Astyanax mexicanus: one gene and its partners. The protein of the gene in region 4 purifies or fractionates together with the protein of the main gene of each other region. This does not show direct contact. Links are inferred from orthologs where the notes say so. Each region holds a gene or a part of one and is shown on either strand. Other genes may lie near its edges. The genes, in order: hnrnpa3, rps29, gtf2f1 and hnrnpub.

Region 1 (7,691 bases), on a different chromosome or scaffold from region 4:
TTACCTCCTCCGCCACCCCGATCTAAAAGGGAAATAAACAAAGGAGCTGAAAAGTAATCTAACCTTTTCATGTTTCCTTTTCTGCTGTTTGTTTACACTAAGGCAATAAACAGGAAATTTGACTTTTTTTCCTGAAACGTTTCTCTAAAACAAATCTCTAACAATTCTTAACAGCATTTAACAATTATACTTTAAAATAGGAGTGAGTATGTTTTTCTGGTGTTGTGAATAGTGTATGCAATTAATGAACACTATCCAGCTGCACATTTTGCTAAAAAGATCAATACTACTTTGCATTAGTAGAGACTAAAAAACAAAAAGTAATTCAAACAAGTATTGTGATGTACATTACATTCAATTACACTATATTTTGTTATGTCTTATTATATAAACATAATTGTATGCATTTTGAGACTATCCCTGAACATTATATTATCTTTGCCATATCACACACCCCAACAGAATTATAGAAAGTGCCTCACACACAAATGTACATAAATTATTTGACTATTGATGATTTGTGATATGATGATTATTATGAGGTTGTACTTACACCTCTGGTTAGAAGCTGCTTGCATTTCCTGTTTTGGGAGTGCTTTCCTGACTTCACAGTTATGAGAGTTTATGGTGTGGTATTTCTGGGCTAGAGAGAAACACAAATGGGAATTTTTAGTGCTTGTACTAAAAACAACAGCTACAACAAGGCAGATTTTTCGTGAATATTTTCTTACCAACAATTTTATCCACAGTGTCATGATCATCAAACGTTACAAAACAGAATCCTCTCTTTTTCCCTGTTGGCCGCTCCTCCATAATGTCAATGCTCTCAATCTTCCCATAATGCTCAAAGTATTCTCGTATGTGATACTCTTCTGTGTCTTCTTTTATACCTCCGACAAAAATCTTTTTTACAGTCAGGTGGGCCCCTGGTCTATTCGAGTCCTAAAAACAGTAACAACATCAAGAAAAGGTATTGCAAATTATGTAGGTTTTAAGGCAATTATGTTTGAGTTCTGGAAGCGAAATCAGTGAACTATAGATGACAATCTTTAGTCTTAAGAATAATCCAAAAACTACTAATAATATTGTAGAGAGTAAAAACAGTGCATCAAGATACCTCTCGGGAAACAGCCCTTTTAGGCTCAACGATGCGTCCATCAACTTTATGGGGCCGAGCACCCATTGCTGCATCAACCTCGGAAACACATGAATAAGTTACAAAGCCAAAGCCTCGTGACCGCTTGTTCCCTGGGTCCCGCATTACCTGTGGAAGGAAGTAGTTAGCAATTAAAGCTTACACTGAAAGAAAAAAAAATCTAACAAAATGCCCCAAACAGCACTGCAGTTCTCACTAACCACACAGTCTGTGAGTTTGCCCCATTGCTCAAAGTGAGCACGCAGGCTGTCCTCTGTTGTTTCAAAGCTGAGACCGCCAATAAACAGCTTCCTCAACTGCTCTGGCTCCTTGCTGTCATGACCCTGTTGACAACAAGAAAAAAATATTAAGAAACATTACAATTAGCATTAAAATTCCCAGGTTCCTATGAAATGTAAATGCATCTGTAACTAATGTCCATTAGCTATTACAGCTTAAAAAAAGTAGTTAATCAGCAGTCATAGGCTTGTTAGAAATGTTCTGTTTGTACAGATCCCCTGAAGTACTGTTGCTAGTTATTCTAAATAATACTTAAATAAAACTTAAATAATTTAATTAACAGGCCCTCAATTTAGTAATATGCTGCTTGAATTACATAAACTTGAATTAATAAACATATAACCATTCCCCAAATTTAACAATCCAGTCTGTCAATTAAATTGTATTTACCTTCGTTTTAATAGCTAGCTAAACTGTTCCTTCAACGCTGAATTCTTTCTATTAAAAAAACCTTTTAATTTCCCAATAAAACCCGTCAATTAAATAATAAATAAGTAATACATTTAATAAATTATTTCCTCTAAATAATAATTATCCACTCCCTTATTTCCTTTATAGAAATAGTTAACCCTCCAATTATCCAGAGCATCCCCTGTAAACCATTGGTACAATTTGTTTATAGAGAAAAATAATTTTCTAAGCTGATACACTGGGAGCAGGGGCTTCGTGTCCGAGATGCTACAGGTAAGGGTTTCAGTTGAGCCATTTGACTCCGGTAAATTTTATATGGATGATTTTGAACTGACTGAGAAACGCTACATTTCGACACAAGCCATGTTCTTTACAGGAGAAACCGGTCGCTGAACCTGCTGGCTATCTTATCAGCACTGCCCTCATCCGCGTCTGGAATATTCCAAGCGGGTTCTCCTCAAACGCCATTTTAGAGCTGTTTTCCTCTCTCCACCATATTGTTAGCCTGTGTTTTCGTGACTCTTGTGTCATACTGGAGGAGCAGTCTGGACTTAGACTACCGTTTTCCAGTTACTTCCTCGCCAACATCACAGCTTGACATTCAAGCCGAAATGCAGGAGATTAGCGAGCTAGCCGGACCGGTGTTAGCTGTGGGCACTAACTATGCAGGAGTGAGAGTATTCACTTTCCGTTTCGTGATTTAACCAAAAACCACAAGCAGAAATGTACTATTCGGCTGGTTCAACTTCCCCAGTTTCTGAATTACCACTGAAAAATATTCATGTGCAGAGTTACCTTAGCTACCTAGCTCCCTTTACCTAAATCTGGCGAGAACCACCCAGCTAGCAAGCTAACCTTAGCGTAGCTAGGTAGTAACTAGCTTAGCATAGCTAGCTAGCTGTAAACACGACAGCCAGCCAGCACAGCAGAACCAAGAGCCCAAGCTGCCACCTGTACTTTACTGTACTGCGTCTTTAACCTAAACCTCTTATAATATTTCTAGTTACATGCCATGCAATAAAGCACAGTGATACACAGCTAATAAACGGTTATTACCTCCATGTCGCAGCGTCTGCACCCCTCCTTTTCACACCAGTGCTGCTGCTGCTTTTCGGGGCTGTAACACCAGAGACCACCACCAGGGGATCGAACAGTCAGTCACCCAGCGCAGCTGCTGTCTCTGAAACACTAATAAATATTAGCTGTTTTAGCTTGTTTGTTTGCTCAGCTTTCAGCCTTCTTCAGTTTTTTTAGGTAACTGTTCCTAAAAGCAGAAAAGTATCTAAATTTCATGATGAATCAAGCAGCAGAAATGCTACAAAATTATTTGGGGTTTTTTTCTTGCAAAGGTGCCATTTTGGTGATATGAGGTGTTTTGTCCTTCAGTTAGGTTATTACGTTATATGTTATTTCTCAACTGGTTGTATAATGAATATTGCTTTTATTCTTGAAAGTGTACCAAACAATATTGTGGCGTCTGTGTGTGTGTGTGTGTGTGTGTGTGTGTGTGGCTGCTGTGTGCCTGTCTCTGTGTGCCTGTGTGTGAGTGGATGTCAGGTGTGGGGCCTCCCTTTTAAGTGGGGTTATGCAGAGTGGTGATCTACCATCCGGTAGATTCCTAGTTGGTTTAGTGACCTTAGGGCTGTTTATGCTGTGTGAGCAGTTGGGTTTCGCTCTCCTAGCCTTGTTAAAGGCTATAAGTAAGTGGCAAGCCTGTTAAATAAAGAGCTGTTGAGTACTGTAATGAGTCTAACGAGTCCTCCTTCCTCTTCCATGCCACATTATAATAATGTATATACAACAACATCCTTTATCAGTCCAAAGTCATTGGAGTGTTTTCTTAGAAAATCGTACATCACTTCATGCTTCCCACTGCTGACAACTTTTATGGAGAAGTGGATTTTCATTTTCCAGCAGGACTTGGCACACTGCCCACACTGTCAAAAGTAGAAATTTATCTTATATAATATCTAATCCAATCTTCTGAGACACTGGTTTTTGGGTTTTCTTTGCCTGTAAGCAATTCATATTTTGAACTAAATTACTGAAATAAAATAACTTTTCAATAATATTCATTTTTTTTAGATGCATCAGTACTGTATCCTCAAAGTGAATAAGTAATTTAGAGCGTATGACACTGGGAAATGAGAAAAATAAAGAGACAGACAGAGTAACATCCTGTAACTTATATATATATATATATATATATATATATATATATATATATATATATATATATATATATATATATTAATTTTTTTTTGTTTTAGATTTCAAAAGTACTAAAATTGGCCTTAATACGTTGCTTCATTAAGGCTATTTTATATTTTTAACACAACACTTATTGAACAATAATATTTTATTTAAATTTTAGTGAAATCCACATTTTATAGGCAGCCACATTACCTTATGTAAGTCTTAATTTTTAACCAAAAATTAATTTGTCCTCTGTGTGCGCTACGGCCCAATCTCATTTCACCCCTTTGCCCCACCACTTAGCCCTACCCCTCTGTTTTGCTTGTGCAAATGTCTAGGGGTAGCGTGTCCCGATTTTTTTACGCTGGAAGGGTAGGGGAGTGTTAGGGCTACATGACCCTTCAAACGCACACTCAAAAAAGAGGGCTAGAATCACTGGCAAGATAGCAGCACAAACAACCAAGGAAACCCAGAAATTTAAGTTTTCCTTAGTAGAAATTACAATATCTACTATAATACCATAATTTAATGTGTAGTTTCAATGTTTTGTGTCCATTTTCTCCATAACAAACATAATTTAAGATCCCCATTACAGAGGAATTAAGGAATGGACAATAATGAAGACAATGCCCTGCTAGTTAACTAGCTAGTTAACAAGCAACTAGGGTGCTGAACTTTAGCGCTTCACTGCTAAATATCCCTATCAGTGTTTAAAGGGATATCCCAATTCTTTAGTTAATGTTTTTAGGGGGACAAAGTTACAAGGGGAAGGGTTACACATGAAAACAAGGAGTACAGATAAAAAAAGACATCCTCAACCTGAACTAAACTGGGAAATGAAAAAAAATTAACACTGATGCTATTATTAGCAGTGGAGTACATACCAGCTCTTCCAATCTTGTGACTGGCTGGTTTTAAAGCAGCCAGTCAGGTTTAGGTTATTGTGAGTCAAACAACAGTTAGGAATTCTTTACAGGTTATACTAACCAGTGTAGCATATGGGGCTCACATGGGTGAAATGTGGGCTAGTAGGTGTAGGCTCAGAATGGGTTTGCACACAAATGGGCTTCATTAACAGACACCATCATTACCATTATTACTGCCCACCTCTATCCCTATCTAGATAATTTATGCAGTGTATGAACCAAGATGGGGACCATGTTTTGTCACCTGTCTTACATTAAATAGGGCTGTGCATTGGCAAGAATTTGATACAGGGTTTACGATTTAAAATATTGCAATGTATTGTGATACTGTAAGGCAAGACTATATTTTGTGATGGTTTAAATACATTTTTGGGAAAATTCCTATAGTATAAAATTCATATTAAATCTGAATTACAACTGGATCTGGATCTAGCAAAACGGACTACCCTTAATATTCACATGTAAACTAATAATAAAAACATTTTTGAAAAACGATACAGTATTGAAAAATAAAATACTACAATACTTCGATATATCAATATTTATTTCACCCCAAACACTGACCCTGGTGAAGCCTATCAGTGACATCCACATGAGGGACCAACCCTGTGGACAAAACCTTCTGGTTCTTAGTTTTGCTACTCATACAGGCCCAATATGAGCATGTTATCTGGGAAAAGCCTACACTTGTTGATATAAAAAGGTAATCCTGAATTGACAACTTTTACAGTTTATCATGTTTGTTTCTTGGCCTGTGGTTTCCCAACTGCAAATATGTAGTTTACGTGATCTTTCCAGTTTCCTGTTTTTCTTCAACCTGATTCATTTCATGTATTAGTTATCAAGTTCATCTCAAAAATAGGCAGAACCTGTTCTATTGGTTGATGAGATTTTATTTTATTTAATGTCACCACTATCATATTGTGTTCTTACTGTTTTTTTTTTTTTTTTGGAGCTACAGCGCTTAAGCTGAACTTTGGACTCAGTAACTGGCAATATATCTGGCTTTTTAACTAGCCTTAGTTATAATTCCCACATGACCTAGTTGGACTGAGAGATTTTGCAATAGCTTGTAGATGGGGCTGTTGGATAAATTCATATTATATTGGATTTGTTTCAGTATAATATTAGGATATATTTGTAAACTGTGTGTTAAAGTTAAAATGGGAGTCAAGAACTCAGTAGGCCAACATAATGGAGACAAGCCCTGTGTGTGTCTGTGCTTGTATGCAAGCTATGTTTTACCACAAAAAAAAACAATACTGCACATTGCGTCACTCTGGGTTGATTATTACTCAGATACTCATTCATTCTCACTTAACTATAAAAACACAATAGTGAGTTGTTTGTAAGTTTAAGCCTTCCGTGAGAGAGCTGTGTACAGAGCACTTCCTGAAAGATGCAGGAAAACTGGTTTTCAATCTTGCTGTGATCTTTTTACAAAAACCTGGGAACATAAACCTGATGGCCTTGAGTTCCAGACACGTAGCACCTGGACTGCTGCACTGGAGCCTACAATAGAGTACTGCGCCACCTGCTGGATGCTTACAATCCTCCTTTCCTTTAGACATATGGTGGCCTACAAGCTGTTTACTTGAGACCCCATTCACACTGATCACAGTATTTGAGTGTTTTAGATTTAGTATGTGATATCACTTCCTTAATTAAGACTCTAATTCTACAAGAACTTTTCTCTTTTTTAATTTGATAGCAATGTTAAATGCCCAGTACATAAATAACGCCAAATTCATGACTGGTGAACCAGTAAACTGATGTATTTGTTTATTTCAAAATGCTATTTATTACAAAAATATGAAATAAAAGTCCCACACAAAGTACAAGCCAAACAATTTCAGGTTTTCACTTTTATGTCACTTGAAATTGGGTAAAATCTTTTTTTTTTGTAATACTATTGTAGCCTGCCGTAAGTTTTAGTATGCTGTTATTCATTCATGGTAACATGTAATTTTTGGCAAAATTTAGGTAACATCCAAGCCCACAATACTTTCATACACTCATGCTGAAACTCAGGACTCATCGCCCTGCATGCTGGGCAAATTATTCTAGATTTCCCCTGAATCCAGGAGAGTATAGAAACCTAATCGCTGAAATGAACTGCAAACAGAGCAGACTACTGTGAAAAGCTACTACTTGTACTTTTTAAATAAGTGTTTCATCACAATACTTTAAAAGAATAATGTATACTGAATATTTACACAATATATTTTAATGAGAAACTGCTGGAGTCATTTTTATTTATTACACACAGTGATCATCCTTTACTTGTTTACAGGTTTATTCATGTTAAATTGTTAATACTCGCTCACTGGGGGTTCTGTATTCTGTATTTTGTATGTTTAATGTTTTTGCCTGATTCTTTGTCCTGTAATCATGTTTCTGTAAAGCTGCTTTGTGCCAACACCAGTTGTAAAAAGCGTTATACAAATAAATTTGATTTGATGTTTATAAATAATTATTTTCATGTTTCCAACTCAATTCTTTCTCTCTTTGTATGATACAGTCTCTGTACTACAACACTCTGGAAAAGGCGCTGCTGCCTGTCTTATTAACTTATGAACTTATGAAAATTGGATGGCATATTTAAAATGTAACATTTGCTAAATGCAGGTATTTCATTTCTGTATTTTAAAATAGCCTATGTTTTCTTAATATTTATACTCCACTGCAACGCATCCCTGTCTGTGAGTTATAAGTCGCCCTTT
Region 2 (7,005 bases), about 14 Mb from region 4:
TTTACCTTTGTATGAAGGCCAAAGTAAAGTAATAAACTAATTATACAATTAGAATTGACAGATTTGGCTTCAAGTGTGATGTACCCATAAATCTTGCAAATTGCTTTAACCCCCTCAAATTTAACACTTGGTTAGTGAAAGTCTGAACAGTCAAAATATGAAAAAAAAGCAATTTAGGACAGCAACTTGAGACATGCAACCCTTTCTTGAAAATATATTCTAGTTGGTACTCTTAAATAGCAGGTCACAAATTAAACAATTGATTCACTGCTGTTCACTTCTTATAGCAGATTTCATTAAAGCACTTCAATGTTTACATATGCAGCCTAACAGAAAAGTAGCCCAATGCATTACATGACTGTTACTGTGTAGCCCCTCAAATGTTGTGTGAAGAACGTCAACTAATCATTTTTGAAAACACTCGACCCCAAGTATGAAAACCAAGAACGACAACAGTTTTAACCAGAAAAAAAAGTGTTTATTGGGAATTCCAATTCAACTTCATCTTGGTGGCTTTGGATGAGTTGTCCACATGGCTGGTGCTCAGCAATCCAAGCACTTAATCCATCTGAAATAAATTAAACAACTATTAAAACATCTGAACCATAAGTAACAATAGCTTTTACATTTCCTCATTTTTCCCCAACAAAAGGAGTATTATGTTACTAACAGGACAAAAGCATCCCACCCCTGGGCAAAACAATGAGTAAGGGAATACTTGCCTTTATAAAGCCGATGTCCTTTGCATATTGTCTGAAGCACTGACGGCACATGTTGAGCCCATATTTGCGAATCAGACCATGTCTGTTTGAGCATACACGGCTGTAGAAAAGAAAAAAGGGAGGGGAAAGCGTTTAGTTAGAAAGTCAACATAACTTAACACCCACAACTGGAGGTATATATTTTTATTTAGGTGCACAGCAACACTGAAGCATTTAACAGTATTACTGTAAAACTGTCAAGTTATACATTTAGTGCACAAAACCATGTAGCTTACTTACTGTGTTTACACTTCGCATTGTTTACTGCAATGTACCCAATGTATGCTCTATTAGTGATTACTTAACACAGCTGCATTCAACATCTATATAGCTAGTTCAATAAAGATAATCAACATGCTATCTACCTTTTAATAATCTATAACATGCAACCTATATATGTACCGCTTTACAATAACAATGAAAAACACCTCACAAATGCACTTTAAATAAGAAACTCGATTATGAATTCTTTTAAATGTAACAATTGCTCATTCGTTTTTGTCGCACATGAATTTGACTTAGTCTGGTCGGGTTGCATTTATTGATGAAAACGTGTTTATTATTCATGCAAGTGTATCCAATTTATCAGTCATAAAGAATGAGGTTAATGTCTTTGTCATGGTGTATAAACAGTGTTAAGTTTTAGTTTTTCACTACAGTTTAGTAAGTGGACTAAATAACTACTACATCCTGTCATCAACTACATGGGCTGCATCTTTTCGCACTTCAAAATAATTGGTTTCTGGAAGGTTATTTATGAATTTGACTGAGAGGATTATAAATAAGGGTTAATTTAGTGTTGGAGTAAATAAATTATTTCTGTCCGTGTTCATACTGCTGCGTGATAAGGCACAACACAAGTTCTTTCTCCTTCTGGTTTGTGCAAAGGCTGCCTCTGCTTCCTGTAAAATGATCCGAACTCTCTAGAAGAGTGTTTTCACACTGCAGACGAACCGGACCATGGTTCAATCCTGATAGCTAGTTAATTAGTTAACCACTTAACTTACAGAGAACAAGCTAAGTTAGGTGTTTACCAACAGCTAGTTTGGTTCCCTAGTTAGTGTAAAACGGAACTGTTCCATATATTTTGAGAGTAATAAGCGTTAGGATAAAGGAAAGTTCTAAAAACTAATTAATTAGCTAGTTAAGCTAATTTAACCACTGTTTATTTTAGTCACCTCGTTGGGTCGGAACAAAATCTGGCCCTTTATTTCGGATCAAACAGAACAGTCCGAAACCGAACAGTGGCGGTGTGAAAGCGCCCTACACTAGTTGTGAGATGAATGTTGAGTTAGTTAGCTAGGTTAACACTAGCTTTCTTAGCAGTCCCGGGCCGGGACCATCTCTACTGGAGGACTAGGTAAAACGCGGAATCAGACAATAGCATAGTGCCACAATCCCGGATTGCTAGTAAACTAGATGAACTAACGCAACTTAATCTACAGAACACAGCAAATTTAGTTTCCTAAGTATTGTAAAACATGACATTTTGTTGATTGAGTAAATAAGCTTATAAACATTACAATAATAGAAAGTTATAAAAATCCAATTAATTAAGCGCTAGTTCCCCTAATTTAACTTTTTTAGCGGGTTACTTTTTAGGGTCGGACCCAAATCTGATCTTTAGGCTCGGATCAAACAGAAAAGTCCAAATCCGAACAGTGGAGGTGTGGAAGCGCCCTACACTAGTCGGGAGATGTTAAGTGGCTACCTAGGTTAACAGTAGTTAATCCAGCAGATATAACGTTGCAATAGTAAAGCCTCAGATACCCGGATCATTAGCGAGCCCGTGAGAACTGAACAGTTAACGTCGTTCTAACGCGCAGAAAATGCTCTTTATAAGTAGTCGATTTAAGACACAGAACTCCTGCTAATGTAGAATATGTCCGCTGCTAAATAAATCCAGTACTCAGCGATGCTGTTAGCAGCTAGCTAACCCCTAGCCGAGCCCTGGCGGCTAACCCTAGCCGAGCCCGCCATGTTAGCGCGGCGCTCCTCCATGTGCTCCTCGAGTTTCTCAGCTCTAAACAAACATCCCGGGACCCGGAGCGCGGATTCCCCACCGCACTGAACCCCACCACCCACAACACGCGCAGCGGCCGCCCTACTGACCAGGATCGGGATCCCTGGCCGAATTTCCGCGGGTGACTCCAGTAGAGCTGCTGGTGGCCCATCTTGTCTCTCTCGCTCGGGATGTCGAAAAGGAAGGAGCATTAGCGCGCATGCGCGAATAAACGGCTCTTCTTCTGCCGTCCCCTCACACGCTAAGCTGTGGAGGTCTGCCCCTACAGCTCCCCCTGTTTTTCAGATACTGGTTCATTTTCATTTAATTAAAGGAGAGTATCTTCAACCTCAATGAAGAAAAATAAACACTGGATGTAACCATAGATGTAACCGGTCATATCTTAATTAATGTGTCATTTTGCTTTCATGCATGTGCCATGTGCAGCTGTGGTGCAGCTATGCAGCTGTAGCTGCAAAAACAGCAAAAGGCCTTTTTTCACCTCCTCGAACTTAGCATGTACTACAGACCAGCTGTTTACTCCCCACTCCAGCAAAGGATGCTCTACATCTGAGCTGCTAACACATCCATTTTCCTTTTATAAAGCTACAAATCGTCTCTCAAATATGAGTTTTTTGTTGTTGGTGAAGAAGGCGAAGTTTATACACGTAACAATGTCCGCATGTAAAGCGTTTCAGAGACAGATTCATTCACATTTCACACAGATACAGGTCACTTACATTTGTGAATGTGAACCTTGAAGAAAAAAAATCAGATTTGAGCAACGTGGCTTGTAATGTGAACGCAGCCATAAAAATTAGTTTAAATTTAAAGTTATTTAGTTTAGTTATATTTAGCAAATATCTATATACATAAATATAAATATTCAAAGAGAACTAAGCATTTTTTATGTAATGTAAATGTGTAAATTAATATACACTTCTTATTTGGTTCAAAAATGTCTCGAACCTTAATACTCACAATCCTTTTGTTACTTGTATACACCCTCTTTTGATAATAAATAGTTAAATCTCTTTTGTATGTACATATATCTTTCCATGTTATATTTCTTTAATAACATTTTATTTACTTTCTTAGTGCTGTAGAATGCATTTATCATTTATATGCATTATTAGTAGTATTATGTTTTAATGTAGTATAAATACTACTTATGTGACATTGTTTGCAGAGGAAAAACACTCAAACTCTTAACAAGGCTATATTAGGTTATAGATTGTTGCTCCTACACAAATACCTTGTATCATTTTGCACTTTTTTGACCTAATTTGAATCTCGCAGCTGTTCTTTACATTGTGTCAAGATTGCATGATGAATAGGGGAATAGCAATGGCTATGCTGAGCTCCTCCAAATGTCCCTTTTCTGAATTCTCATTTTTCATCCATGCCAAGGTAAAAACGGCTAATGAAGTAAAGTCAAAAGTAAATTTTGTTAACTATGTTAACTATTCACATTTAAATATAGAATTTTCAAGTAGATGACATGCAGAGTTTAAGCACTATTAATTAAAACTGATATGACATGGCTACTGGCTATTGGGTAATACTGCTGATTTTGAATTAGCAAGTTTTATTTTATATTGATAGGAATTGACATCCACAAATATTTTATGGTTTGTCTGTTCAAGTTCATTTCATTTGTTGATAAATCCATTCCTGCATTCCAGGCCTGCTACACATTCCAAAAAAGAGGTGGGACAGTAAAATATTTCTCATTTTGTAATTCCTTCTTTTTTCATTTTGTGGTTGCCATTCCTTCTCAACAAGGTCACCAAGCAATTATGTGTTTTAGATTTTGTCCTATTCTTCCTGCAGACACAACTTAACGTGTGCACCAGGACTGCAGGCATTTTAGTCAGTAACATTAATTACTGATTACTTTTTATGTTTAATTAAATTGTTTTATAGACAGCCACTTATGCACCACATTGAAACTGATTACACCACTGACTTCTGAGAGCTAAGAACACCCATACATTTGTATACTGATTCTGAATAGCTTAAATGCATTTGTGAATACTTATATTCTAAAAAAGGTTAAAATACAGTTATGTCATTAAATGTGAACTCAATTATAGATGAATTAAGAGCTCTGTGAGACTTTATGTTTACTTTTCTTCTACAGTGTTTTTCCGGCCCAATTTTGCCATATAGTTTTGCAGTTTTACTTTAGTAGAATTTCAATATTGATCTCAGATTTTCACTGCTGTAACCAAAAACAAACAGAAACTGTCTGGTGAGATCACTCCAAAGTCCAAAACAGAACATAAACACATAACTACATAGTGCAAACCAAGGAGAAGTATTCCCAAAATAAATGTCACATTATTACCAGTGTTTTAGTAGTATTCCCAAACATTAGGCCTTTGGTCTAATAGGGTTTAAAATCTGCAAAGGCTGATTCTATTTGTATAGCTTTAGTCTAATATAAAACCACTCTCACTAATTCAGACCATAAGCCTTCAATCAGGTTTAAATAATAACCTGATATGGTTGTTGCTACTGTATATTGGAAGACTTGTAGATTTCAAAGCCAAGTGTTTGGCCATAATGTTCTTATTATGTAACAAACCAAAAAAAGAATAACTAGTAAATCGAAAATCACATGCTTATTCAGTTATAATTTTTGTCAACTTGGGCACCAGCTGCTGTAATGTGTACTGTAGTTTAAGCTGTAGTTACTGATTAAACAACATGACTAAAGTGTGGATATGTAGTTTAGTTCGCAACCAAATACAGCCCCAACAATACACCTTGGGTAGTTCATATTTTTCTCAGAGTATACAAAGATTTGACCTTTTTTATTGGGTTAAATCAATGCTTTTATAGTGTTTGTCATCAAACACCCAATATTAGTTCTTAGTGTCAGGTTAAATTCCTGGTGGATGTAACACAATCACCATTTACACAACCTTTGGTTGAAGTGAAGTGTAATTTGCAATAAATGTCATTGCAGCGCAGTAGGACGTAGGCCAAACAGCACACATTTACCAGAGCTGGACAGATAGTGTCAGTCATTCTCCAGTCATAAACCAACATGCATCAGCATTATTGGTTGGAGTTAACTGTAAGTGATCTATGATTTTGACTTTTAATGTGAAGACCATATTACCAAAAACATTTTTTCCATGTTAGGTAAATTATGATTGGTTGTGTTGTGAGGCTAATTAAGGCCTCTTAGAGTGTGTACACTGTAACACAATGATTGTTTATTGAACACTTTGGGCTATACTTCTACTGGAATAACCAGTCTAGCCAGCTGAAGCTGGCAATAGCAGGAAAAGCTGGTTTGCCAGCTTAGCTCTTATGCTTTTGTTTGAGTTGCCAGTTTTGCACAGCCAACTTGACCAAGATGACCAGCCTATGATAAGTTCATTATTTTTTGCATTGCACATTTAACACACTGCTGATTACCACACTTTGGTTCAATATATTTTTGCATATATTTTTATTTCTAAATACTGTCCCTATATTTTTATTTTTATACTTTTATTTTTTTTTTATTTGGTCTTTCTGACTTATTTGCAGAGCAGCTTGGTAATGTTAGTCATGCAGGTAGATCAGATTAACCCAAAATTATCACAACTCAAATGTATTGTAAATGTAAAACACACATTACTGTTTGCTGGTGTAAAACTAAGGAATAAGTATAGTTTCGCAATCTGAAGTTTTTCTGAATATTATCAATTTTTGAATATTTTTAATTCTGGGTTTTTTAGATAAAGTATCTTGTAGTGCATGCTTTTTGTTTGTTTTTTGCTTTTTTATTGGGCAGACATAATACAAGTACACAATTTATGTCACACACACAACATATATCGCCACTATCCAATGAAATACATGTATCTAAAAACAGCGTCTTTACAGGAGAAAATGTTCTTAACTTTCAATGAAAGTCAAGGTAAAATAATTTAATTCAGGTCATTTTAGAAAAGAATCAAGAAATTTTGACAGTGTAAAGGACTGCTTTTGTGTTCAAATCATGTAGTAAACTAAAAACCTACAAATGATAGGTCCAAAAAGTCACAAAGATACAGCATAAATCATGAATGGGGACAAATATATGGAACACAAGTAATGAAAGGCATACATAATAATAAGTAATGCAGTTAATTTGAAAACTTCAATGCTTTATTTTTTTTTAATACAACACAGCAACACTTAATGTTGAGTTCAGAAGGTATATTACCTTTTATGCTAAAGTGTATGCACTCTCTCTCTCTT
Region 3 (7,969 bases), on a different chromosome or scaffold from region 4:
CAGGGCACAGTGCACTTTTTTTTTTTTTTTTTAAACTTGTTTTTTTTTTTTACCTTTTTATTTAAGATAAGCAAAGCATATGGCTAATTTCCTAACTATGTTGGGAGTACCTATTCCAACATAAATGATGAAACTTCTAGAATACACAAATAAAGTATAGTAAAGGAAACTCATTTGTGGGTCCGTGTTTACAGCAACTTTTAACTTGTGAATAAGTCACAAATACAATTTAAACATGAACATTGCTTGTATGCAGTAACGACTAGAAGTGTTTTCGTAACATTCAATAAAATTTAGATTTTCACCGAAAACTATTAAACAAAAGTTGTATCATAAACCATAAAACTTATAGTAATTTGAGTTTCAATTTCAAGTTTTTTTAAAGACAAATACCGTATTTTTACACTATAAAAGGTGCACCGGATTATAAGGCGCACTATAAATAAACATAAATTTTCTGGTCTATTTTCATCCATAAGGTACACCTAATTATGACGCATTATGCGACACTAGTAAGGATATGGGGTGTTGCCATGTTTTCCTTCTAATACACCCAGTGGAGAGACATGTAAAGCAAGCAAAGTTAGATAAACAAAACTGTAATTCTTTATAAAATAAAAATCAAATTAGCACTGGATGTTTATCTACATAGATTTTTAGAAACTGATCATTTGGGTGAGTAATGTGCTTCCGTTTATTAACAGTAAGCTTAGATTTCCACTAAGGCTGGGTGCAGCAGCATTATCAATAGCCGCTAATCGCCTGTAAACGCTTCACTGAGGAACCCTAAGTGTTCTGGTAAGCCAGGGCGATATTATCTAGCTGTATAAGAGGCACCAGATTATAAGAGATGGGTGTGGTTAGTAATGTACATTAAAATATCAGAAAAATATAGTTACTGAAACATCTCAGATCGCAATACATAAATATTGAATTATTGCAGAGCTCTACCTTAAGGAGTGCTCACCAGAGGCAGAGTTGGTGACTCCTGCTATAAAGATGAAACTTTAACATTTACTGGAGTAATATGCTACCCCTGGGTATATCTACTTTAACCTAAATACATAGTGTGTGTACTTTGTCCACTGCTACCCCTCACAGCTAGACAGTGTAAAAAAGGATTTGAGCAACCACAAAAATTATTATCAAAAACACACTTTTCAACAAAATACAGAATCACCACTGAAACTGAAAGAAGCTGGAGTTAGATCTTTTTATGGTGGTGGTGACTAAAAGCCTGTGCCCAAAGCTGCAATGACTCATAGGTCCCTGACATAAGTTATAACACAAAGTTTACAAATATGCTGCCAGATAAAAGTATCATATACATTTCTGACAACAATATGTACCTAGCTTACAACTATTTTATCATTATCAAACACCATTTCATTCACATAAATAAATTACTCATTACCAGTGAAGTCATAGCGGCAGATCTCCTCTTGTCGTTCTCTCAGAAGCGAGTGCTGTCCGTCACCAACTGATGAGTATAGAAAAGACTTATTAGAATTTAAAAATTGTAGAATCACTGTTTAATCCTATGAAATACCCATTTTCAATACTTATGTTTTAAAAATGTAATTTACAGCTTGAAATGTTCTCAAATTCAGAGGTAAATACTGTTCCACAGCACTGTAAAGGTAAAACTCTTTGGATACTGCTATTGTATTTCTCAGTTTTTAGTCATTTGAAAAAAGCAGGTTGCTCAGTTTGACAAATTTCACACCATTCAGGCTGTCCATCTCCCTTCCCCAGTCACCTTGCTGTGTAGTGGTGGTGTAGACGAGAAACCTGGACTGCTTTAGACCTGAACCATATAATTTTAAGTGTGGAATCCAGGTTCTGTTAAGGATCTGACAATGTCAGGTTTGAATAGAGGCCTTGTGGTAAGCATGTTAAATACAGTAATTGCTCATATCAAACCTAGTAGTGATACAAAGGACACTAACAGTTCAAGAATATGTGCAGACCATCCTGGGATCACATGTTTTCTTTTATGGCAGGGCTTCCAACAGGCATTTTCAGCAGGATAATGCTCGTCCATGCATAGCAAGGCTTTCCCAGAAATGTCTTTGCCAGAGTGGCCGATGGAAGTTGTGAACATTTGTGGGCTGAAGCTGAAACCTGTATGCATCCTAACAGGGTACTTGAGCCCCCTTTTAATTGTACATGTTTGCTTTCTGTCAATAATTTAATTCTGTTTCACTAATATTGTCATTTTTACATACACTTACATGTACCATGTTTAATACCATATCTTATTTACTTATTTTTTTTAAATATACACATCTATATATAATATACATATCTACATCCAATAAAATGAGGCTTTTTATAGTCTTATTTTTTTAAGTTTTATGTATTATGTAGATTACCTTTTTAGAGTCATCATGACTGAAAAAGATCCCAAAGAAAAGATCTCCCAAACAGTGGTGTGATTTTTTTTTCCTCCCAAAAATATAATTCATGCCATAGAGGATTAAATAAAAATGTAAATGTCAGAATGACAAATAAACACTCAATCATTGGAGTTGTTTTTATGGTTTATGCTGTAGAGGCTTAACTTAACTAGCAAACTAATGTGTAGAAAAACAAAGCATATAAAATACTGAAATAATACAGCACAACCACTAACCCAGCAAACTTATTCCAAACATGAGCTGTATTTAGCTTAATGTGTGTACCGGTTTATTTAACTGATAAACGACATGTAAATAAAGAATAAAGCTGTACATATATATATACACCAAGAGACTCCGCAGCAGCACATTAAGGATTATTAAAACTCATCAGGTTAATAATCCGCTGAAAACTCACCGGACTCTCCAGCAGCCGCTACCCGGCGAAAAGCTCAACAATCCCGGCCTTCAGTTCCCGCAAAGCCGAGGCTGACCTCAACACCAGCAGCAGCAAAATTCTCCTAAAACAGAAGCAAAAAATCGTGTTAAAAGAAACGAAGCGACGCGAGAGAAACACAGAAAGAGACACGGAGCTGCTCACAGAACCGACCTGCAGCACAGCTCTGACCGGCCAGCAGCTCTTTCTCCCGGCTACAGCAGCGCGTGGAGCGGTGGGTTCGCACCGCCGCCTGGTGGTCTGGAGCAGCGGCCTGCACAATTAGGCCCAATCTCATTTCACCCCATGGCCCTACCACTTACCCCTACCCCTTCTTTTCTAGTGTAACACCTAGGGCTTGATTATTTTCCTTGTTAAAAAATATGATAATTACTATATTACCATAGTTTAATATGTAGTTTCAACATTTTGTGGCCATTTTCTTTATGACAAGCATTAAAAAAACGCTAGTGTAACAGTGTTAAAAATGCGTTTTTAATATTTAACAGATCTAATCAACTAAATAATGCATGTGCATGTGTTAGTTAAAAGCATTAAGTGTAATTAGTTAGTAATTAGTAACTCTGTTGCTAATGCTCGCTTATTCTGTCTAGGCTGGCTAGCTGACAAATTCAAAATTAGCACAAATTCTAATCCAGCAAGCTACCTATTGAGCCATCTACTACTTTCATCTACTGTTTTTTCCTTCAAACTGCAGACACACAGTCACTGTGCTAAAGGCACTCTCTCTCTCTTTATCTCACTCACACACATAAAATATAATATAAAACTCAGTTCAATTAAATAAACTTAAGATGAATAAGGACCTGTAAAGTTAATTAAAAATTGTCAAATATAAAAGATATTTTGAGGTTTTGGTGAGCTGTTTCCACAATTTGAAACTTAAACTAATGTCAGGTTTTCTGAATCAGAAAGCTTGTGAGTTTACATTTTTATTATTTTAAAATTTGAATTTGTTTTATTTCTTTATTTATCAAATAAGTTTTGTTTTATTGTGTTTTTTTTATTTCCATGTTCTTAGTTTAATATTATGCATTTTATCATTTATCATTCTTATCATTTTACGCATTTTTACGTATATATTTTATTCATCTACATTAAATATTGGCATAAAATATGTATTTATTTTATTTATTATGTTTTTTTTACTATTTGATTCCTTGTTATTTATAATTAAATATTTTCAATCCCTTTTATACTGTAAATGCTGAAGGTTACCCTCAATGTATTCCCAAGTGAAAATAAAGGTTGATTGATTGATTGATATTTATTGTTGCAAACCCAGCTTTTACATAAACAATAAACAGAATAAAGAATAAAATAGCACTGCTTTTCCCTTAAATGAGCTGTGTACCTTCACAGTGTGAAGGCGCAGTCAGTCCTCTCCGTCAAGACATAAAAAAGCTGCGCTCTTAAGATGCCAGTGAACAAAAGTCAGCATGCACCTGCCTCTTAAAGGGAATGAATACTGCAACACTGATTGGTTTATTTCACATTACGCCCAAAACACACTCATTTGAAACTGTGCAGGACACGCCCCTAAATCCAGCGGCGCAAAGCACAATTAACTAGTGCGCTATAGGCCGCTAAAATTGGGCCCAAGTTCTGTTCTCGCCAAAATAGGATAATTGTTTTATGTATTGTAATATACCGCATTGTCATTGGGGATATGGGCGTGGGCGTCTTGGCCTAACAGTCAGAAGCGTACCTTTATTAAATAATGTCCTCCACCACAACAAAATAAACTTACACAAACATGATAGCCTTTAGTCTCTGTAACTAGAGAACCATGGGTCAGTCCTCGCCTCAGCCTCCCTATGCCTGTGTTTTCTATTTTGTGAGGGCTGATATTGACACTTTAGCCACCTCTGTATTGGATTATATTAATCACCATGCAGAAACAGACATACCTAAATCAGAAGTTGGATCAATGCATGAATAGGGAGGTGCAGCTGCTAAAGGATTGTAACATCACCTTCAGAACAGGTGATGCACATGCCTACAGCATATCCAGGTCTAATCTGAGGAAGGGCATTAAAAAGGCCAAGCTCTGCTAAAAACTAAAGATAAAAGAAAACCTGACCAGATCATCACTGATTACCAGCACAACAACTCAACACCTGTAACTGCTCATATTTGTTTCCTAAACGAGCTAAACAACTTTCATGCTTGCTTTAAAAAATACATAAGTACATTTGAGGGTGAGCAGTAACATGACTAAAAAAGTGGGAGTGGGAAGGAGCAGGTTTTAAAAATCAGTCCTGTGCAGACCTCTAATAACATGTTTTAAACCCACCTCGGTTGTAAGCATAGGCGTCGCTAGTTCTTTTAAGAGGGGCTCAAGCCCCCCTAAAATGAGTCCCAGCACCCCTAAATGTGATAGCAGAAAGTTTCTGCTGTTTTTATCAGTGTCTCTGATAAGCTAAAAATATATTACAATCTTAGAAAGTAGATCATTAAACAAAAATTGCGGAATGAAAACACCCTAAAAAAGGCAAATGGTAATTCACTTTCTCTGCACTGAGTACTCTTTATGCTGTTGTTGTTTGATATGATGTCTCACCACTGATACGTCCTGTGTGTGTGTGTGTGTGTGTGTGTGTGTGTGTGTTTGTGTGTGGCCAGCCAGTCAGCCATGGTTATTGGGTTATTTTCTAAAGTAAAGAGCAGGTTCAGGTGAAATAATAAGTTTAAAAAAAAAGTTAAAAGATGGAACCTAATTGCTCAGCATGTTTGTTGGGTACTGATCACCCCTAAACCTCTGTTCCTAGAATCGCTCCTGATTGTACCTGTGCCAACCTACCTGTGCTTTTTTCTACAAATACAGGTAATTACAAATATACAAATATATGTATTATATAAAAAATTACAATACATCCATACATTTGTGTTTTAAGATAGTTTAATGGAAGAACAATTTTATTGATACTAAGCAAAAGTGGAGTGATTTAACACAGGCTAGGAAAGAAACATAAGCTAAGCAATGTTGTTTGATTTGCACACAGCATCATGCAGCAAGGTCATGTTTTATTTAATTATTTAATATTTTATCATATTTTTGTTTTCCACTCCTGAACTAATGCATGCAACAGTAAGTAATAATAAAAGTAATAATAATAATAATAATAAGTGAGGCTTTGTTTCTTTAATTATTTAAAATCCCGTGAGTGAAACGGACGTGCTGGACGCGCAGTGTTCACTTTAACCAGCGTCACTGAGCATCCGTAAATCAGAGAGAGGAGGAAGAGTACGATGAAGGCACACGCCATGTTCCACGTCTCCTCAGCCGTGTCCTCTATGATGGCATCAGACAGGTTCTCATTATAGTATATATTCTGCTCAATAATTTCTGAAAAAACAAAGAATATATTATTTATCATTTTGTTCCATTCAACCAACAAACACATCTTAAGGTATGAAACAATTTGGGGTCGAACTTTTAATTTTGAAACTCTCCACACATCCCAGTCCAGTACCCATACCCTCTTCTTCCACTGCCATGTCTTTGCAATGCGTGCAGCATGCATTTTGCATGGACTTGTTGAAAAAATGCACTGAAGATATTTTGTCTCAATGTATGTTTCTGCATTAATGTTGCATCACATGAGTGTACTAATAAAACCCTTTATCATGACAGAACCTGGCTTTTGGACATGGGCTTTTGCTGAGAGGAGTCTGGATTTTCCTTTTTGACTTTGGTACAGAGCACACAGCACCTGTTTCTTTCAAAAAATATCTGGAGTACTGATTCACCTGACCACAAAAGACATTCATTTACACTGTGTGACGATGGATCTATAAAATCCCCTTCACGTGCATGCTCATCAAGCCATGTGCAATGTGCAGTCACTAAACTGCAGTAGGAAAACACAACTAACCAGACCAAAAATATTAACCTTGACTCTGACTTGCTTTTACACTTTATAGCTGTAAAAACTACTTACCATGATCACCTGTTAACCTCACCTGATTGAAATAACATCATAATTTATTTTCCCTCATTACTATACTTAAATTGTCTCCACCCCAATTTTTCGTAATGTGACCAGGAAAAAAAACATGAAATATCTTGGATCGACTAAAAAAATTGACTAAAAGTCAATATAAATAAAAGTAAATTAAATATACATTAACATGCATTTTTTCATTCAGTTGAAAGTGTTTTCTTTCTTTGTATGATGTTTTACATTGTAATTTAATATTGAAGACAATAAGGCTAAACAGGAACAGGAATTAATTTGTAAAGAAAAAGTGTTAAGCAAACCAGAATATGTTTCTTACTTTTCTAATTTTTCTAAATAGCACATTTAGCATTAAGCACAGATCTGCACACTCTTGGTATTTTCTTGGTCACTTGGATAGTTTTCTCAGTGTTTTGAAGGAGTTCCTGCAAGTGCTGAACAGTAGTTGCTGCTTTTTCTTCATGCTGTGAAGCTCCAGCTTATCCCAAATCAAGATCTGAGTTGATCAGGTTAGGTAAGGTATTTTGGAGAACTAACACCTTTTTTACTATTTATTTTTACTTTGTAAATCTAGTTCATGTCCAGACTTTTGACTGGTACTGTACTTTTTTCATTTACCATATTTAGCTATTTTGATTTGTCGGTGTATCAACCTGAGGTACGATTCAAAAACACATACTGATATCTGAGGTTTCAGGGAGGTAGAATACTTTTTAAAGCGGACGATTACCTGATGCAAATAATTACCTTCTTTGGAAATGTTTTGAGTAGAAGAGCCAGTGACGTGTTGAACCAGACAGGTGTATTTAGATCCAGGTGCCCATTCGGAAGCCAGGACATGCAGCTGACTTTTAACACTGAATTTCCCGTCAGGCCCTTTGGCAGGTCTGGTGGTGTGTTTGTGCGGTACTTTCACACCATCCAGCAGCCAGGTAATGTTAATGACAGATGGGCTGTAGTCATACACCAAACAGACAAGCTCATCGCGGGCCTGCATTAACTCCACTGCTGGGACAGAGTTAATAACTGAGGCTAGAGGAAACACAAGGGAGTGAGAAATGAAAAAAGAAGTAATTGGAACACATCAGTAAACCTGTTCAATCAAATGATATCAAGCCGGATATGGATTCAAGGTTAGCTTTGTCCATGTC
Region 4 (6,826 bases):
TTATATCCTCAGACTGTCTTCTGGAAAGGTCAAGACAAGCCAGGACTTCAGAGATCTCCACTGATATACTGTCTAACTTGAGACAACAGTAATACATTTTTAAAATAAAAGCAAAACCTTTTTACCTCCAACACTCCATATAAATAAGAAATTACTGCTAAATCTTGCAGAAAGGGTAGAACAGTACTTACCCAGCCAAAAAAATGGCGAGAAACCACTGTTAAAGAACAAATCAGTCTTACTTGTGTTCTCTTATACACACACACAAAGACACACAATGAAAAAAAAAACAAACAAAATAAAAAAAACACCAAAAACAAGAAATGGAAGACCGCAGCACACGTTCCTGAACAGCAAAAAAAAATCCTGCAAGAAAACATTTATTCAGAGAAGACAAGCTAAATGCAGCATGCAAACAAAAGGCACGAGTGAACGCTGAAACAATGCCCCGACCATCCCTTCCCGATCATCTTCTCCCACACTGGGTCATTATCAGAATACAACACCTAATCGCCCCCCAAAAACATGTGATCGGCTATATGACACGCTGCAGGTCTGAACATAAACGCCCACTGCCCACCCCACCGTCATGAGACAGCTGCTACTCTCCTGTTGTCCCTTTGAGCCAAAGGGATGCTTTCACAGCCATACGCGCGTACAACTGCCAAAACAGTGTGTGAGGAACAATGACAAGTCATGATGATTGAGACTAGAGGTTACACATCTGATCAATGTCTTGAGTTTGCAGCCTGTTCAGAAGGATACAAAAGCACTGCAAGGTAAGGTTTTATGAGCCAAGGATGACCCTCAACTGGCTTACACTTTATTAAAAGAGACATGTGAGGGTGTTTTTCCTACAAGTAAAGCATTGGCTCTTAAAGCCAATACATATTAAAAGTGGCACTTCTGGGATGACGAAGGCCATTACTCCCATCCTTACCGGCTGTATTTGCTTTCTTCAATAAATTCAAAGTAGCCCCTTCCATGTTCCTCCCGGCGTCTCTTAACACCCTTCTTATTCTTCTGATCAGCATTGTTGTCTTTGTCCGCATCTCCTTTGGAAATAAAACAAAGAGTGATGAAATGCTCGTGCGTGTTGGACCCTGGTTTTAAGGGTGGTCCCACACGACTAGGAGTTCTCGGACTCCTCCCGCCCCAGTTACACTCAAGTTGACCACCTCTGATCAGACAGAATATGTATTTAAAATAATATAAAAATGTATAAAAAGATGTGCATTCATGCTGTGTGTACTACTGTTAACTGGCCCATTCGGGGAGAATGAACCAAATGTGAGATCTTAACGTGTCTCTTCTTCACATGTGAGTGATGAGGATGAACAGCAGCTTATATTTAGCTACGCTAGTCCCTTTTACTCATACTGCTGAATGAACACGATCAAATATGTGTGGGGACACATTAAACTAGATAAAATCAACTTCGACGGCCACAAAAACGGCACAGCCATTAACCTAACCTAACTAGTTAACGTAACTCACAGTAAACGATTCTTGACCTTCTTGCTTCATTACAAATTAGCAGTTAGCTTAACTCTGCTAATACAGCCAGCTCCTTCACGGCCCCGGCTAAGCCACTTCAGACTATGCTAAGCTACAAAAACCCAAATTAAAACGAACAATTCCCTGCTCGGGTTAAATAATTAAACAATAGCCACTAAATCACCACATTACCTTGAGTTTAGCTTTAGCTTTCTAGCTAGCTATATAAGATCGTATTAACGTTATGTTACATACGGATTCGTGGAGATCGCTCGTCGCAGCAGCGCCAGGGCCTAGTTAGCTAACCCGCGCGGCCCGCCGGATAACGTTACCCTCTAACCGAAATATATCGGAGAGGCTAACAAAAGACCCTATAACCTGCTATTAATCCCCGTGTTGGACGTAGAAACGCGAAAAAACAATTCGTGCACAGTTTTGTAGCCAAATATTAAATTTCTAGTACTGCAAAAACCGGCAACCTATTGTTTCGGTCGGACAGCTCTAGCTAACGGGCTAACGCTAACTAGCCTAGCCTGACTAGCTCATAAAACAATAACGACAGATGGGGTTCGCACACGACCGCTGAGAGGAAACAAAAGCTACAGACGAGCTGACTATTCGAGCCAAAAACGACTATACTGATACTAAAATACCAAATAAACCAACCAAACTCCTTACACAACGAACTACCTAAATAATTCATTAAAATCGAACCTGCTTTTTTTCCTCTCAATATCTAACAAGCCGGTAACTATCTATCTACTAGCTCAGTCTACAGGGCGCTAAAGCTGCAGAGTGTTGCTAGGTTAGCGGCAGTCCCGGCCGGCGGACATTAATTAGCTGGTTGGCTAGGTTAAACTACGAGCTTCAGAATCGGCTCCTGATGCACTCACCCTCTGTTGGCTGGGACTCTTGCTCACCGTCTTCATCACCGATCTTATCTGCCTCGTCTTCATCCTCGTCGTCGTCTTCCAGCGCCTTGTCCATGTCGACCGCGGCGTCTCCGTCGTCCTCCTCGTCTTCGGCCATTTCGTCGTCCTGGCCGAGCTCGTCGAAGTCGGCCGCTGCGGCCTCCTCATCCGCGCCGCCTCCGTTCTCCCCCTCGTCGGCCTCCATGCTCTCGCCCCCTTCCTCACCCATCAGCTCCGGTTCGAGCTCGGCGCTGTTGTCCTCGGCCCCGTTCTCCTCGCCGTCCTGCTCTCCTCCAGCCTGGGCCTCGGCGTCGAGCGCGGCCTGCAGCCGGTCCATCAGCTCGGCCTTCAGCCCCTTGTCTGAAAGCTGGCGCTTCTTCAGCTCGTCCTTCAGCTCGTTCACTTTCAGCTTCTTCACGTTAATCGCACTCATATCTGCAGCCTTAAAAAAAATCACGATTACTCACAGAATTCACTAGTATAAAACAGTAACGCGGAACGCGCGCTCTCTCGGATGGTTCTTCTTCAGGACGAGGCGATTCAGAAAGAGCTGCTGGGATTCACTTCAGCTGCGCCAAAGCCGCGGTGCTTCTGGACGGAGCCTACCCTCATAAACCCCTCCCGCCCGGAAAACGGGGGAGGAGCGGTAACACCCAAGGTGACATCAGCTCAGAGTGTACAATTACAATTACACACACACACACACACACACACACACAGAGCGTAAAATCAAGGAGACATGAAATCACCTAATAGATCATACACATTAATCAGTATGTAATAAATCAAAACCAGCTGCGTGACATACAATATAAAATATAACTCACTTTAGACACGTTTACATTAACCTGTGTGTAACTGGGCCACTCAGCGAACGATAAAGGACAATGTGTGACATTCAACCTGTGTAATTTATTCACTGTAGTATTTTTAGCTGATATTTTGGTTAGTTCTTTTGTAACATTATCATTATTTAATTCAAAATCACTGTTTCTATTAATAACATGGTTATTTTAAAAAAAATCCTAATGAATGTTTAAAACTTCTTTACTAAATAAAACTTTAACATTTAATTTGTTGCAGTATCACATATTGCAGAAGTATTGTAGCATTATTTTAGGGCTTGGAGGGGATTACAGTAGTTAAGCTGATTCAGTAGCAGTAGGTGTGTGTTAAAGATGGTCTACATGGTCTATGAGTACAGAGGATTCTTTTTTTTACTTCTTTAATGAATGAACAGATAAAAAAAAATAGAAATGAAGCTTAAAACAGACAAAACCTCCACACACACACACATTTTGCTCAACCATTCAGCACCAAAATAAACATTATATCTGCAGTAGGGGTATGTCTTATCATACACAATAATATTGTCTTAATTTTAAAACAATGACAAAATCCATATTGTGAAACTAGCTTTAGTCTGTCTTAAAAGCAACCTATTTTGTATTTGTTTTGCTATTTACTGTAAAACTTTAATGTTATTTTTTATATATTTTTATGTTTGCAGTTTATGCGCATGCACAAAATATTCTCCACAGTAGTATTTTGGTAGCTAATTTTATTGTTGTAGTAGCACATATCACAGAAACACTCTGAATTATTGTAACATTATTTTTAGGGCCATGTTTCCCTAACCTAATTCGGAGCCCTTATTTCTTGGAGGGGTTTTACAGTAGTTAAACTGATTCAGTAGTAGTAGGTGTGTCTTAAAGATGGTCTACATACTACCAAAATATTATCTTTAGTAGTAATATTATTAGTATTGTTATTAGTATTATTAATATTACTCTTGAAAAAAATCTAAAGTCTTAAAGACCCAGGCATTGATTAATTTTTTTTTTTTTTTTTTTTTTTTTTAGGATTTTTTCCCTGGTTATAAAATGTTGAGCTATTGCAACAATGGTTTATCAAGTCATAACTTTTTAATTTGAACAAAGTCTAATTTTATGTTGTAATGTGTGAGTATAACAAATACAATTCTTAAAATGTACTTTAAGGGAGGATAACACAACAATGTGATTTAATGTCATTTATGTATTTATTGAGAAACGATACTGAACACCCAACCCCCAGTGTGAAAAAGTGATTGCCCCCTATCTTTCAATAGCAATTTACACTCCCCACCCCCTTACTTGAAGCAGTTACTGCAACCAAATGCTTTCTGTATCTAGTTGTTAGGGTCTTATGAATCCCTAGAGAAACTTTGGCCTACACATTCTTGCAGAGCTACTTCAGCTTAGTGACATATTTAGGCCTTTAAACATGAACTGTTCTGTACTCCCTCAACATTTCAGTATTTAAGTCAGGACTAGGCCATTGCAGATGATTTTCCTTTTAACGGATCGTTTCTGGTAATTGGTAAAGTTATGATGAGAATGAACACTGCTCTTTGTTAGCGGTGATCATTCCTGTCACTTACTGGATGTTTTAGAACATTGATATTGGATATATTTTATGAGGTTGTCTACTCCTGGGATGGCAGACTACTGTTTCAAAACTTCTCCACATGGACATGCACATTTCCTTACTCTGACATATTTATAGTGCCAGTATCATTCTGATTAAAAGGCACAAAGTAAGATTTATCAATCATTAACTGAACTGATCCTAATAAACTCCTCATTTTGGTCACATTACATGGAAATACAAACTATTTCTCATTACTTAAGACAACTCAATTGATATCTTACACACCAAGTCCACTATAAAATCACATATATATAGTAAAAAAGGTGCAAAGATTCAGAAGTTAAAACAGAGTAAATCCATTTTTTCTATGCTGCTTAGTTTGAGTTTATTTATTTGTACAGTTTGAGTATTATTTTTGAGTCTCTCAAAAAATACCCAATAATTTTTAATGTAATTTTGAAATGCAAGAAAAACTCTGTGTGGCCAGAGCACTCCTCCTAAAAATATGTTTAGCTCCTCTGTGTTTTTATTTACAATCTGAGCTATTTCAATAGAAACCTGACTATTGTTTTTTTTTTACAAAGTTTGTTCACAATATTTTTGGTGTCTTCTCACTGTCACATAAAAAATGTTGTACCTCCTACAGAATTTTTGCAAACTATTTTATGATATCATTAGCGTGGCATTTAGAGATTCCAGAGATATGCAATGCTAAATTGCAAATAAAAAATTTTGCTACAGTGGATGTCTGAGTTCATACAGAAGATTAATCATCATAAAACAGAATAATTAATTAATGCACAGAAATATTTACACATGCAAGTTTCTTCATGTGGTCAGTTTAAAATGTAAGTATTGCATTTTCTAAAGAACAATTGAGAGCTCTTTTTAACAGGCGATAGACATGTCTCTTTTGTCTTATAGGCCCAGTACCTGGAGTAATAATAGCTTGTGATGGCTCATCGCATTAGGGTATTCATGTTTAGTGAAACAGGGAGAAGACTGAGCAATTAGCACTTAACAGTAGAACATGCAGTTGAAGCTAGAGGAGCCTTAAGCTGACATTCAGGCACAGGTTTTGTTTTTTTGGTACATTTTCACTGGTTTAAAATAACTACTTAATATTAATAATCTCTTCATAGTAAAGTCAGTATCAACAGAACAAATATATTGTAATGCTCTGGTCCAGAAAACTACAGTTAGAGCCTTTAAGAATAAAAAGTAGAAAACATCAATTATTTTCTCAGAGAATAACATAATTTATGACATATTTTATTATGACATTAAATATTGCTCTGTTACATCTGCCACAAAGTTATTATAACATTCCATAATAAGTAGTAGTGGTAGCATGAATGTTTTGGGTGCTTTGATGATTCAGGGCCTGGGTTAATTTTTAATAATTTACTGAATCAAGAATTCTGCACCAAAAATCCAGTAGGTGAATATGCAGCAATCAGTTTTTGATTTATAGCTCAGTCCCAGCAGAGGTATGCAGCAAAACTGAAGAAAAGGTCCACCAATTGATATGTTGTGGCAGCATGCTAAACAGAAAGTGTATGCTTGAAAGCCCTCCACTGTTACTGAATTAATTATCTTATTTGCTTTCATTGAAATGCATTTTGCAAATAAACCAAATTAATGTTCTGGAAGTTTGTTTGGTATATTTTCAGCAGTCATCATGTCTCTTCTAAATATAGCATATCTCATTATAAACAAACAGGGCTTGGTGAGATGAAGATGCAAGCCAACGTAAAAGAAATACATTTTACCAGCCTTCATGCAATTGTTTTACACTGCTACAGTACACACCATTGCAAACAATGACTAAAACATGAGAATTAAGTTATTCCTTCTGCCACAGCTGAATTAAGTTTTTTTTCTCTTATGTAATGCAGTTTGTGCAAAAATAAGTACTAAGTATCCACATAACCATTCTGCTATTTTAATGGGGAATTCTGACAGTTTTGCTAAATTACTGAATTACATAGTTACATATGTATAGA

What was found.
Region 1: the proteins of hnrnpub (region 4) and hnrnpa3 fractionate together in Homo sapiens (co-fractionation; 3 studies listed by BioGRID, with this or other methods). This does not show direct contact. The link is inferred for Astyanax mexicanus from reciprocal best matches to the Homo sapiens genes HNRNPU and HNRNPA3.
Region 2: the proteins of hnrnpub (region 4) and rps29 fractionate together in Homo sapiens (co-fractionation; 3 studies listed by BioGRID and IntAct, with this or other methods). This does not show direct contact. The link is inferred for Astyanax mexicanus from reciprocal best matches to the Homo sapiens genes HNRNPU and RPS29.
Region 3: the proteins of hnrnpub (region 4) and gtf2f1 purify together in Homo sapiens (affinity purification with western blotting; 3 studies listed by BioGRID, with this or other methods). This does not show direct contact. The link is inferred for Astyanax mexicanus from reciprocal best matches to the Homo sapiens genes HNRNPU and GTF2F1.

What each region holds. Positions count from the first base shown.
Region 1 is NC_064418.1:32,177,227-32,184,917, reverse strand, and holds the start of hnrnpa3 (heterogeneous nuclear ribonucleoprotein A3), read right to left. Parts: upstream 3,011-7,691; 5' UTR 2,909-3,010; coding exon 2,903-2,908; intron 1,480-2,902; coding exon 1,357-1,479; intron 1,265-1,356; coding exon 1,118-1,264; intron 943-1,117; coding exon 732-942; intron 644-731; coding exon 554-643; intron 23-553; coding exon 1-22. UniProt on the Homo sapiens protein: Plays a role in cytoplasmic trafficking of RNA. Binds to the cis-acting response element, A2RE. May be involved in pre-mRNA splicing.
Region 2 is NC_064408.1:74,140,125-74,147,129, forward strand, and holds rps29 (40S ribosomal protein S29), read right to left. Parts: upstream 3,017-7,005; 5' UTR 2,936-3,016; coding exon 2,874-2,935; intron 823-2,873; coding exon 723-822; intron 569-722; coding exon 560-568; 3' UTR 457-559; downstream 1-456. UniProt on the Homo sapiens protein: Component of the small ribosomal subunit. The ribosome is a large ribonucleoprotein complex responsible for the synthesis of proteins in the cell.
Region 3 is NC_064426.1:8,389,120-8,397,088, forward strand, and holds the start of gtf2f1 (general transcription factor IIF subunit 1), read right to left. Parts: upstream 3,014-7,969; 5' UTR 2,818-3,013; intron 1,481-2,817; 5' UTR 1,427-1,480; coding exon 1,415-1,426; intron 1-1,414. Other genes in the region: ighd (titin), read right to left, coding at 6,006-6,205, 7,566-7,850. UniProt on the Homo sapiens protein: TFIIF is a general transcription initiation factor that binds to RNA polymerase II and helps to recruit it to the initiation complex in collaboration with TFIIB. It promotes transcription elongation.
Region 4 is NC_064408.1:59,824,972-59,831,797, forward strand, and holds the start of hnrnpub (heterogeneous nuclear ribonucleoprotein Ub), read right to left. Parts: upstream 3,009-6,826; 5' UTR 2,842-3,008; coding exon 2,391-2,841; intron 1,056-2,390; coding exon 941-1,055; intron 1-940. UniProt on the Homo sapiens protein: DNA- and RNA-binding protein involved in several cellular processes such as nuclear chromatin organization, telomere-length regulation, transcription, mRNA alternative splicing and stability, Xist-mediated transcriptional silencing and mitotic cell progression.